Linked DNA regions of Coturnix japonica. The protein of the gene in region 1 purifies or fractionates together with the protein of each later gene. This does not show direct contact. Links are inferred from orthologs where the notes say so. Each region holds a gene or a part of one and is shown on either strand. Other genes may lie near its edges.

Evidence for each region.
Region 2: the proteins of RPL7L1 (region 1) and PES1 purify together in Homo sapiens (affinity purification with mass spectrometry; 4 studies listed by BioGRID and IntAct, counting the BioPlex papers as one, with this or other methods). This does not show direct contact. The link is inferred for Coturnix japonica from reciprocal best matches to the Homo sapiens genes RPL7L1 and PES1.
Region 3: the proteins of RPL7L1 (region 1) and REXO4 purify together in Homo sapiens (affinity purification with mass spectrometry; 3 studies listed by BioGRID and IntAct, with this or other methods). This does not show direct contact. The link is inferred for Coturnix japonica from reciprocal best matches to the Homo sapiens genes RPL7L1 and REXO4.

Annotation. Positions count from the first base shown.
Region 1 is NC_029519.1:48,832,445-48,836,536, reverse strand, and holds the start of RPL7L1 (60S ribosomal protein L7-like 1), read left to right. Parts: upstream 1-1,232; 5' UTR 1,233-1,319; coding exon 1,320-1,333; intron 1,334-1,469; coding exon 1,470-1,578; intron 1,579-2,579; coding exon 2,580-2,743; intron 2,744-2,908; coding exon 2,909-3,046; intron 3,047-3,541; coding exon 3,542-3,651; intron 3,652-3,883; coding exon 3,884-4,092.
Region 2 is NC_029530.1:9,612,642-9,616,544, forward strand, and holds the end of PES1 (pescadillo homolog), read left to right. Parts: intron 1-155; coding exon 156-233; intron 234-516; coding exon 517-606; intron 607-806; coding exon 807-937; intron 938-1,075; coding exon 1,076-1,201; intron 1,202-1,378; coding exon 1,379-1,563; intron 1,564-1,678; coding exon 1,679-1,836; intron 1,837-1,998; coding exon 1,999-2,166; intron 2,167-2,729; coding exon 2,730-2,816; 3' UTR 2,817-3,390; downstream 3,391-3,903. UniProt on the Homo sapiens protein: Component of the PeBoW complex, which is required for maturation of 28S and 5.8S ribosomal RNAs and formation of the 60S ribosome.
Region 3 is NC_029532.1:5,445,078-5,449,455, reverse strand, and holds the start of REXO4 (RNA exonuclease 4), read left to right. Parts: upstream 1-1,512; 5' UTR 1,513-1,552; coding exon 1,553-1,729; intron 1,730-1,958; coding exon 1,959-2,413; intron 2,414-2,683; coding exon 2,684-2,839; intron 2,840-3,001; coding exon 3,002-3,195; intron 3,196-3,359; coding exon 3,360-3,448; intron 3,449-3,768; coding exon 3,769-3,843; intron 3,844-4,378. Other genes in the region: ADAMTS13 (A disintegrin and metalloproteinase with thrombospondin motifs 13), read right to left, coding at 558-624, 932-1,006.

The DNA.
Region 1 (4,092 bases):
TTCTAAATACAGGTATTAATTTATGAAGCATCAAACTTTGAGTGGCCTAATTTAATACTGTAAATGTTTGCAGTGTCTTTGAGGTGAAGCTGTTAAACTTTGACATCTCAGAGCTTTTTAGTGCAAGGCTCTGATTCTCAGCTGTGTAGCTGAAAAGTTAACAGCACATCAGTGGTGTAAATCAAATGAGTACAGTTGCAACAAAATTAACGCATCCGGTGTGCAGGCACACATCCCATTTATGTCAGAGGGGGCTGCAGAACAGCAGCGCTGCCCCATCAGATGCAGCATCTTCCTAGTGTGAGGTGAGGGCACCATCTACGGGTGAGTCTGTTGTCCAACCCGTCGGGACCTCCCTCCATGTCTTTGCTTCTTTTTATAGCGTGTGTTAGGAATGTTACCAAGGAATCACTGTGCTACAATAGAAGGGCTATTGACGCTCTAACGTCAGGACATACTGCATCAGCAACATCCGTTTTCTCTAGATACGCTTTCCCTGTGTTTGAGTTGTTTCCTCTTCAAACCTTTGGCTCCATTATCAACAAAATGCCCCCTTACTGAGGATCAGCAGAACACAGTTGCTCTCATTGGACATTTGCAGGGCACAGGCGGTGTTTGTCCGAGCCTGGCAGGATCAGTCCTTTCTTTCTGGCTCCAGCTGGGACAGGCATTCTTGCTGATGCTAGAAATTAACTGATACTCAGGAAAAATGATTTTCCTTTCTCAGTTTAACTGGCAATGGTACTCCAAGGGTTTATATGTGAGGGCATAGCTTCCCTGACACAGTCAGAAAAGTAAGAAAAACAGAGGTACCCCTTGCCAGCTGTTGGCAGGACTATCTATGCTATGAAGGGCTGTGTGGTTAGCAGACATAGCAAGTGCACGCCGAAACCTCATGACTGCAAACAGAAAGTGAGGTGGCAGTTTCAGATCTACAAGTAGTTACATCCTAGAGCAGTCTCTAAAGGCTCCTCTGATGTTTAAAGGATTTCTTTTGTATTTACTGTTAAAGATGCAGGGCTCCCAAGCCTTTACCAGAGCGGAGATGAAGCAGCATGCACAGGTAGAGGCTGACCTGGTGTCTAGACTCACTGTGGGCAGCCAGGGAGAGGTTGTTTTGAGTTTTGGGCAGCTGTTTTGGGTTTAACATTGCCCCCACAGCGCACACAGCGCACACAGCCCACAGGCCCGGCCCTTCCCTGCCCACACACACCCCGGCTCTTCCGGTTCATCCCTATGGAGGACGAGAGGCGGGGCAAACCTGTTAGAGCGGCGCATGCGCTGCCCGCCACCTCCTCTACGGCGGCGGCGGCGACAAGATGGCGGAGCCGGAGTGAGTGCGGAGCTGCCGGGAGCGCGGATCTGCCGCCATCGGCCGGGAGCGGGCGGCTGCGGGAACGGGGAGCGGGTCGGGGCAGCGGCGGGGGGTGTGACAGGCGCTGAGCGTGACCGGTTTCTGCCGCCCGCAGGCAGAAGCGGCGGATCCCGTTGGTGCCGGAGAACTTGCTGAAGAGGAGGAAGGCCTACCAGGCCATCAAGGCCACCCAGGCCAAGTTAGCACTGCAGAACAAGCGCAAGGTGCGGACCGCGGGGCTGGGACGGGGCGGAGCGCTGTCCTCGCTTACCTTTTAATTTAAGAACAATTTAATAGCTGGGGACCTGCTCTGTTCTGACAGCCAGCAGCAGGGGCCTACCTCAGAAGTGGCATAGGGCTTGCTGAGGGAATCTGCTCCTGTGGTGTTCGTGGGGCCGCATTAAAACCTCTTCTGTTCTTTGTTGGATACCACGAGTGTGTTTGTAAGCATGTGGAGCAATGTTCCCCAGGGAGAAGGGGAAGCCTCAGTAATAATGTGCAGTAGCCACTTGTTAAGATTCTCCTTAGTAAAAATGACCATAATGATGGGAGTCAAGTCTCTGCCTGCTTGGAAAATGCAGCCTGATTTCACAGATGGTTTCCAACATGGAAGAGAACCGAAGATGTACAGTGTGTTCTTTAGTTTGGAAGTGGCTTAGTGTTTAGCTAGTAATGTATCTGAAGTGCAGCTGGGTGGCTGCTGTGCACCTTCTCACATGAGAAAGCACTGTGATGTCGGTGGGTGTACTTGATCCTGAACTGAGAACAAACATATAAACTTTTAAATTGGAAAAAAAAAAAACAAGTTATTTTCTTTTTGGTGGTTATTTTGAGTGATGGTGGATTATTGGTGGCTGTTTTGTAATACATGTTGCTTCTGGCTTTCTTTGAGCTGACCAAGCCATGTGTAAGTGGCTGTGTTTGTTTGATTTCTCCTATGCCTGCAATCACATTGAGTCTTGCTCTGTGTCTTTCCTAACTTATTTCCTTCCATGTAAAACCTCCCTGTTCTCTGGAAGTCACAGCCCATTGCTTATAGTCTACAACTTTGTATGTTGTCCCTGAGTTTTGCATCTTGGAGGCTTGGATTTTCAAATGTATTTTACTACTGTCTCCAAAAATAAAAGAGCGTGGTGCATGAAGTTCAGAATTTCATCTGACCTTTGAGTTACCCGCTTCTAGGATTGTTGAGGAGGGTGATCGTTCCTTCTCCTTTTGTCTTTAGATCCAGAAGGGAAAACAAATCCAGTTTAAACGCCTTGAGGCTTTTGTTCGAGATTCATGGCGCCAATGCCGAGATGACGTCAGGCTGAGGCGCATGGAGCAGCGACCTCGGCAGGTGGCTGTACCTAAGGAGCACAAACTGGCCTTTGTTGTGCGGATTGCAGAGTAAGAAACCTTGTTACTTCTGTTATTGCTATTATCTGTAAATGTCACATCCCTTCTAAGCAAAGGAAGTGCAATCTAGCTACTTGTGTCTCTGCAGGTAAGCTGAGGCCATTTGGTACTGTGTTAAAGAAATGTGGTTATTAATGGAATGTTTTTATGTTTAAGGATTAAAGGAGTGAGTCTGAGGGTAAAAAAAGTGATCAACTCGCTGCGACTGAAAAGAATTTACAGTGGGACATTTGTTAAACTGTCTCCATTATCGCTGAAGATGCTGCAGATCGTAGAACCTTATGTGGCCTGGGGGTAAGTACTGCGTGAGTCACATGGTTTTGTAGCAGTTTCTTTGTAATCATAGAATTACCCAGGTTGGGAAAGACCTTGAAGATCATCAGGTCCAGCCACAGCCTAACCAGAACCCTAACTCTAAAAACCCTCCACTAAATCATATCCCTGAGCACCACATCCAAACGGCTCATAAATACAACCAGGGATGGCGATTCAACCACCTCCCTGAGGAGCCTATTCCAATACTTAACTACCCTTTCTGTAAAGAAGTTCTTCCTAATATCCAACCTAAACTTGCCCTGGCGCAGCTTGAGGCCATGTAAATTTGTAAATATCATGGCTTTCTGATTTGTAGCTGCCTTCTCCAGTAAGTGGTCAAAAATTCACTGACTTCACATCTAAAACTTGTTGATATTTATCACTCTAAAGCTACTATGGCTACTTCCCAACTTCAGTGTGAAGCAATAGAGTGGGACTCTCCACTTTTTAGTCTGATTTCTTGTTTTTGTGCAGGTATCCTAATCTGAAATCTGTACGAGAGCTCATTCTGAAACGGGGCCAAGGAAAGGTTAACAAGAAGAGGGTACCTCTGACGGACAATATGTTGATAGAGGAACATTTAGGTAAGATGTAAGATAAGAAAACAAAGTGAAGCTGTGGTTAAGGGAGATGTTGAGAGTTTGCAGTCTGACCTTAGAGAAAAGGGAGGGAGGAAAAATTGTGCAAGACTTTTATATAGAGATCTGGGGATTCTTGGTTGTGTGAAGGAATAGCTGCACATCTCTATGGGTGGTGTGTGTCTGCTGCGTGTTGCATGTCTTGTTCATTGTACTTTGCGGTTATTTTTTCCTGCAGGGAACTGTGGTATTATTTGCCTGGAAGACCTTATTCATGAAATCTACTCAGCTGGGAAGTACTTCAGAAATGTCTCAGACTTCCTATGGCCGTTCCAGCTGTCAGTGGCCCGCTATGCTGCACGTAATAAAGTGGGGTTTCTCAAGGAGATGGGTAAGCCTGGCTGCAGAGGTGAAGGAATCAACCAGCTTATACGGCAGCTGAACTAG
Region 2 (3,903 bases), on another chromosome or scaffold:
CTGCCAGCCTCGGGGACATGCCAGGCTGGTGGGAGCGCCTACTGCAGGGAACATTGCTCCTGGGGACTTGTGTGGGTGGTGGAAGGGCTGAGGGGGAGGATGTTTGTGCAAAGCATGTCTGGGAGCTGTCCCCCCACCTTTCTGTTTGTCTCTAGATCGATGGCCAGGCTGAGGTTGAGCTGAAGCCTGTGGAAGGCAAGGAGTATGCCATGGATTCAGAGAGCTACCTGGAGGTGAGGGGCTCTGCTGCCACTATGGTCAGCGTGAGGACTTTGCATGCAAGGATGCTGTGTGTCCTCAGTGCCCTGGCTGGGGACCCCTCCTGGTCTGGGGCCGTGGTGCAGGGGCTGAGGAGCAGAGCCTGACCCATGCATGATGGAGATCCCAGCTTCTCATCCCTTTGCTGTCGCTGGAGGAGGAGCTGTGCTTGGTCTTGGGGCTCCCTCTGTGAGCCTGCTCCTTTCCCATTCCTAAAGCTCTGGCTGAACCTTACATCTTGGTCTCCTCTGGTTGCAGAAACTGTCGGCTCTGAGCTCCAGCCTGGCACGTGTGGTGGCACCAGCCCAAGAGGATGATGTGGAGATGGATGAGTTCCCTGTGGAGGGGGTAAGAGCCTGGTGGCCAGGCCTGAGCCACACCATGTGCTGTCTTGTCCTCATCACGTCTTATGGCTGAGAGAAGGCTGTCTGTGCCCAGTGTGGGACTGGGGGGGACTGGCAGGAGGATGGGGACAGTGACTGAGAGCAGAGAGGGGCTTGGCTGTGCTGCATGTAGGGAAGAGACTTGACTGTTTTGCCCCTGAGCAGGAGACTGCTGAGCAGATGGATGCAAGGAGGAAGGAGCAGGAGGCCCTGGAGAAGCACAAAAAGCTGTTTGAAGGGCTACGCTTCTTCCTCAACAGGGAGGTGCCTCGAGAGCCCCTGGCCTTCATCATCCGGTATGTGGTGGGAGGGGTTCCTGCAGCTCTGCCACCTTGTGCTGTCCTTCCCTGTCCTCTCCAGTTGCACTGCTGAGGCCACCATGACCCTGAGAGTGTCAGCTGTGTGACCGACCGCTTGATGTGTTTGACTGGCAGGTGCTTTGGTGGCCAAGTGTCCTGGGACAAGTCCCTGTGCATTGGTGCCACCTATGATGTGAGTGACCCATCCATCACCCACCAGATAGTTGACCGGCCCCGGATTGAGCAGCAGGTTGTGGGCAGGTGAGCCAGGTGTCCTGTCCTCAGAATGGCCATCTTGGGCTGATGGCTGTTTCTGAACTCCCCCTTGCTCCGCTTGCTCCCAACCTTCCCCACTGCAATCTTGCAGCCCCTTGGACACTAGAGCATGGGGCAGGAAGGCAGTGTCTGACCTCCAGCCCCATATCCCTCTGCCCATAGGTATTATCTGCAGCCTCAGTGGGTTTTTGACTCAGTCAATGCCAAGCTGTGTCTCCCTGTAGCCGATTATTTCCCCGGTGTGCTGCTGCCCCCACACCTCTCGCCCTTCGTGACAGAGCAGGAAGGAGACTATATCCCTCCAGAGAAGCTGAAGCTGCTGGCCATGCAGCGAGGCGAGGACCCAGGTGATGTGAAGCTCCCAGAGCTGGAGAGGATCCAGGCAGTGCTGCAGCTTCAGCAGAGCTCTGTCTGCTGCAGGGCCACTGTGTTCCATGGTCAGTAACAGTGATCTCTTTATAGGGGAAGAAAGTGAGGAGGAGGAGGAAGAAGAGGAGGGAGAGGAAGAGGAGGATGACAATGATAAAGATGAGGAAGAGGAGGAGGAAGATGAGTCCGAAAAGGAAGAGGAGATTAAATTGAAGAAGATGGAAGAGCAGAAGACTCAGAGCAACAACAAGGTGCAGTGCATGGCAATGGGATGCCACTGTCCCTCTGCCACCCATTCGGGGCAACCAGAGAGGATGCTGTGTCTCTTGTGTTTCCACTGAGTAGTGTGGAAGTGCCCCTGGGGAAGGCCCGGCTCCTGGCACACAGAGCCCTGAGCTCTCTGCTCTCTGCAGGCTCTTCCCGTGAAGGTGACTGCTGGCAAAGTGAAGCTGGAGGACAAGCAGCGCCTGGAACAGGAGCAGCAAAGCGAGGAGAAGCGCCTGGCCATCATGATGATGAAGAAAAGGGAGAAATACCTCTACAAGAAGATCATGTTTGGAAAGAAACGCAAAATCCGAGAGGTACGAGTGTAGGGATGCTCCAAACCATGGATCCCTGTGCTAGGTCTTCCCAAAGCAGTTTGCAGCTAAAGATCACATATCATGGTCTGTCCTCATCTTGTGAGGATGGAGTGACCTCTGAGGCCTGTGCCTCCCTAGCTCTGGTTGTAGGAGGGAGCTTTGCCCATAGCCTTGCAGCTCCTGTCTTCCTGCCCTGCTGTGGGGCTGGTCAGAGCTGAATCCCCTCCATGCACATCATAGACTGCTCCCATGCTGCATGTTTTGGGTTTTCATTTCCTCTCTGTACATGGTGAGGCAGTGAGGATGCTGACCTCAGGTACACAAGGCTGAGACTGTACAGGCCTCTTCCCCAGCATTACCAGGCTGCAGGCATTCAAACTCCTTGAGCAGAACTCCCTGTGCCTGCCTGGGGCCTTAGTGTGTGGCCAGCAAGTGAAGCTCAGGGCATCTCTGCTTGTCTCCATCCCCCGCTGTCAGAACAGTTCAGTGGGTCTGAGGCTGGAGCAGGTCTTGGTGTGTGGGGACAGGGCTGACCGTGGCTCTCGGGTTGTGTTTCTGTGCAGGCAAACAAACTGGCAGCCAAGAGGAAAGCCCACGACACTGCCATGAAAGAGGAGAAAAAGAAAAGCAAGAAGGCACGACGAGCCTGATGAGACTTTGGGACACTGAGGAGGGGATAACCCTCCTGCCTGGCTGCAATGGCTGCAGAGACCATCATGTGTGGGTGAAAAACCCTCAGCTTTCCTCATGGGACAGAAATACTACATTAAACTATTGCCCATCAGTAACTACACCTCCTGCTGTGCCTTACCCAGGACTCCATCCATGCAGGAAATGGAGGAGTGATTGTAGATGCAGTTGCCTGTCCTGAGGGTCAGCTATGTGAGCAATGTCCTCTTTGTGCTCTTTCAGCAACCTCAGGGCAGGAAGAACAGGAGGCCAAGGGGAGCTGTGAGCTCTTGCAGCTGCCTCCCTCTGGCTCTGTTCACCTTGCACACCCACAGCCCTGAGATGTGCAGACTGTCCCACCTGCCCTGGGGGCTGCTGGCCTTGCTGGGTTGTGTTCAGAGGGGTGGTGTGTCCAGCACAAGGAGGAGCCGGATTTGTGCTCAGCATGGAAGAGGAGCCCACCCGCCTCCCAGAGAACGGAGCTGCTCTCCACCACCACACTTCTATTGTATTGCAACTTCGTTATGTTTTTAATTAAACTTGATGCTTCCCCCATGCTGTGTGTTGTCTGTACCCTTGTGGCAGTGCTGTGTGCCCAAACCTCGGGCCTGACCAAGAGCTGTGGCTTAACCCATGAATCACTCAGGGCTGGAGGTGACTCCTCAGCCCCCAAGCTCCGTAGCACTGTGTTCTCACACCTTCTCACTGTGCTCCATGCCCTGCTCCAGCTCTGTGCAGGCCCTGATTTATCCCTGCTGGCTGCTGATGCCTCCCAGGGCCTGGTGTGGGTTCCTGCATTGGGGAGGCACAGCCCAGGGGCACCCAGAGAGCATGGAGCTGCTTCCACCATCCCTTGGGAGCAGCATGGAGGGCTGCCCAGCAGTGTGCAGTGTGAGCAGAGCCTGCAGGACATCCTGAGCCTCACAGAGCAGCACTGGGTTTTATCAGATCCAGTTAGGAGCTTGGAACCACCATTGTGGTGTAAGTTCATTTTTGAGCTCCTCTGCTGCTTTCTGCTCCTCCCTGTTCAGTTTTTCCTCCCTTTTCCCCCTCCTTTCCTCCTTTTTC
Region 3 (4,378 bases), on another chromosome or scaffold:
CAGTTCATTTGGCAAAGGCTGAGATAGATTTGCTCCCTCAGACGTTAAATATTACTGAGAATTACCATAACCCGAACAGAGGTGCTGGGAACAGCAGTAGGTGAACTCACAAAGTGACAGCATCCTTGCTTTAAGAATGTGACAGTTCAAAATGTACCTTTATGCTGAACTATCCAGAACAATCCAGACCTAGAACGTTCCACCTGTGCATTTCAAAACGTTAACAAGTGCACTTAAAGCTGTTCTCAGTCTATGCCTTCCCATTCAGATGACTTAGATCTGTTAACCTTGTCGAAAAATACTGGTACAGAAAATAAGGACCACGGATGGAAAAGATTTATCACAGCTCCTTAAGCAGATTTTAAACACTGGCCCAGTTCTTCAATTGCTTACACACTGAGACATGGATTACCTCACCGAGCAACGCAACTCAGAAATGCTAAATACTTGTCAGAGCAGGGTTAGTTAATAAGTGTTCTTAGCGTTATCAAATGTACGGGATTAGGAATAAACTGACAAATGTGTTCCAAAATCAAGAAGGAAAGAGCTCTGCATACCATCAGACGCTGAGCTGGTTCCAAAATAAGAGAAAACATCGTCTGCATCCAAAGCTCTGAGAAACCTCTGCAAGAAGAAGGATAGCTTTACGTTTTTTAGGGAAAACAAATGGACACAAAGTTATTATTTAACCGAAACGAACCTGGAAGGGACGTCAGCAAACAATTTAACAAGTATGGATGCCAAGGTCTAATGGTTTTATTTTGCACTAAGCGTACGCTGCACAACGGCCACCCGGAGGAAATAGCTTTATCTTCTTGATTAGTGAAGTCTGATACATCTTGGCTTAGAACACGGTGTGTTTTCTCTTCTTTTTTTCCTAGAAATAAAACAAGGCTTCCTGGAAACGGAGCTTTCTGGAGGTCAGGCTTACCTCTTGGAGGATGGAGGGCCAGCAAAACCCCAGAGGGAACATTATGAGTACTCGGATGGTCAGACTGATGATCATGCTGGAGGGACTGCAAGCAGTGCTGCAGAGCAATCTCTGGCCCAGGGGTGATTAAAATGCTTGGTCTGAGGCATCACGTGGAACGGAAGCAAAGCATGCAGAGTTTAAATAAACAGGAGAGATGATCGACTGCAGAGGGGGACAGTCGAGGGGGAATTGAACTGCTGTGGGAGGATTTACAGGAACAGCTGGAGAGGGAGAGCTTTTTGCACAACATTTGCAACTTCATTACAGCCAAGGAGCGCAGCGAAGAGAAGCAGCTTCGGGCCAACTACAGCAGCCAAATAAACAAGGAGTAATTTGTGCGGGGTAAGGGCTCTGATTTGTTGAACTCCGCGTTCCTGCTCGCCAAACCTCAGCACAGACTGAGCACTGTGATTCAGGGCGATGTCCCGCAGGACGCACACCCCGCTCCATGCACCGCTGGCTTCTCCCCTCTGTTGACCACCAGGGGGTGCCCGCACAGCCCCGGCCCCGCAGCGGAACGCAAAGCTCGATCCGCCGTTCCCCGCCGGGTGCTGCACCGTTTCCCCGCCGTGGTTCCGCATGGCGAAAGCGGATCCCGAGGGGGCGGCCGGTGGGAAGGGTCGGAGGAGGAAAGGCCGGCGGGGCAGCGGGCAGCAGGCGGGGATGGCCGCGCAGAATGGCCCGAAGGCGGCCACGGTGGCGGCCATACCCCGCAGCCCGCAGGAGTTCTCCTCCAACTGGAAGGCGCTGCAGGAGGTGAGGGCGAGCAGGGCTGGATGCCGGGCTCTGCATTAACTCGGTTCCGATCTGGGTGTAATCATTTAGAAGGACTTTTTATGTGTAATAATAACCCGCGGGGGATGGGGCGTTGCAGCCAGCCAGAGCCCTGCTCTGCTTCAGTGATATCGGGGGAGAATTGATGATGATCAAGGAGATAATCCCTCTCTCTCTCCTTTTCCCCCCCTCTTTTCTTTGGCTCTTTTAGCTACTGAAGCAGAAGGCAAGTGCCTCGAATGAGACTCTCCCTTCATCTCAAACATCCACCAAGAAGCAGCATCCACTCAAAGAGGGAAACAGCCAACAGGTCCCAGCTGGCACTGGGGATCAAAACGTGTTGAAACCCAAATCCACAAATAAAAAGGACGGGGGTCTGAATGCACACAGCCCTCCTGTGGGCAAGGTGAAACACAAGAAGGCTGCAACTGACAAGAATTCAAAGCCTAAACACACAGATCAGAGGGCCAAGAGTTCTGCTGATGGTGGCGCTCCTATGGCTGAGCCCAAAGGCAGGAGAGATGAGAAGGACAAGAGTGTGAACGGCATCAAAAGCAATGGGAAGGGCTGCAAAGAGAAAAGGAAAAACGGCAGCATTGAAAAGGAGAAGAGCGACGTGAAACATAAGAAGAGGAAAGCTGACGATAAAGCACAGCAGCCCAAAGAGTGAGTACTTCAAGCATCAGCACATGGTAATGTATTCTAGGAGGTGTACAATGAAATACGTTCCAAATAGCTGTGCTCTTCCAGGCTAGAATGTGGGCAACAGAAGATGAATGCTGCCCCTCCTCACAATAAATCTGCATAGATAACAGCATAGACTACTTTTGAGATAGCTGCTTTCTTGATTTTAAAAGATAAATGTGCTTTTTGTGCATGGTGGAGATGCACTGTCACTTTAAGACTATTTAACACAGTTAAATTTATACTTACCAGGCCCGACATCTGGTTTGATGATGTTGATCCAAATGATATTGAAGCAGCAATAGGACCTGAAGCAGCAGAAGTTGCTAGAAGGAAAATGGGACTTGAAACAGGCCAACCCAAACGGACTGTGGAGCAGGTGCTGGTTAAAGAGAAGTCTTCTGGAGGGTGAGTGGTGTTCCAAGCAGGAGACACAGCAGCAGAGGCATCACAATTAGCTTGTAATGGCTGTAGACAAAGTTTAAGCTGACATCTGAGTCTGCTGCTCGCAGCTCTGCTGTGTGGTCCCTGTAAAGAGATGCGTCACTGAGTTGTCTTTTTCTTTTTCAGCCTTACAAGAGCTGTAGCTATGGACTGTGAGATGGTGGGAGTGGGACCCAACGGCGAAGACAGCATTGTGGCTCGTGTGTCCATTGTGAACCGGTTTGGAAAGTGCATTTATGACAAGTATGTCAAGCCTACAGAAGAGGTGACGGATTACAGGACAGCTGTTAGCGGCATACGACCTGAGCATCTAAAGACAGGTAGGCTCTTGTAACAAGCTGAGGGTTGATTGTACAGCACAAACTTGTGTAACCACAGTCCCATAAGGTATAACGCTGTCTTCACAACAAAGATGCCATATTCTGGTTGTAGGTTGCTTAGATGTTTTGTGTGTCTAATGCCAAGTGTTCCATCTCATCTTTAGGTGAAGACTTTAAAACAGTTCAGAAGGAGGTCGCTGATATCTTGAATGGAAGGATATTAGTTGGGCATGCATTACACAATGACCTAAAGGTAACACAGCTGCAGATTTGTTGCTATGAAGACAAAGCTCCAAACACTGAAAATCAGTGAATTTATTATTCATCTTCCTGGATCAGTCAAATAACACACCTAAACTCATAGGAACTGCTGCTTTTTAGCTGTTAGCTCAGTTTCTTGTCCTCTCACATTGTACCAAGTGTAGCCCTGTTTGCTGGCACACCAAGTTCTTCAGCTTGCACACTGATCTTAATAGCACTGATTTAGATGCTGAAGAGCAGGAAGCTGTGTATTCAGCTGTATCAGTTTTTGTGTAGCATCACTCTTTACGCTGGAAATGTGATTTCTTTCAGGTCTTATTCCTTGATCATCCTAAGAAGAAAATGCGCGACACGCAAAAATACAAACCTTTCAGACAGAGAGTCATGGTAAGAAAGTGATGGAAAGGAGTACCTTGATTAACTGACACCAGAGCTGCCGACTCCCAGCTTTTAGCCCACTCACTCCTGTGCTTGCCTCACTTGTCCCCATTTCTTCTTTCCAACCTGAAACAGAGATATCAACTTTTTGTTGGTTGAAAATACCAGTCTAACTGAATGCTTGGTTACTGTTTGAAGTATAGCAGTGTTACTTTGTTAGCTGTAAGTATTACCTGTAATACCTCTGCACAAGGTTCAGCAGTCCTCCCACTCCTTAGCATGTACATGGTCTTCATAACGCTCTTCTGGAATAGCAAAATAAGATTTTACATTTATAGTAAGGACACTGGATACTCTTAATAGTGTCATTTGCACATGGATATTAAAAAAATAGATGGTTTCAAGTTTCTACTTGGACTCCAGAAGAAACAGCATAGGACATTATTTTACTTTTCATAACTACATACTCTGTTTTTCACAGTAAAACACCTCAAACCTAAACCTCAGGGTTATGGGACCACATAGACAATCCTCTAAGCAGGAC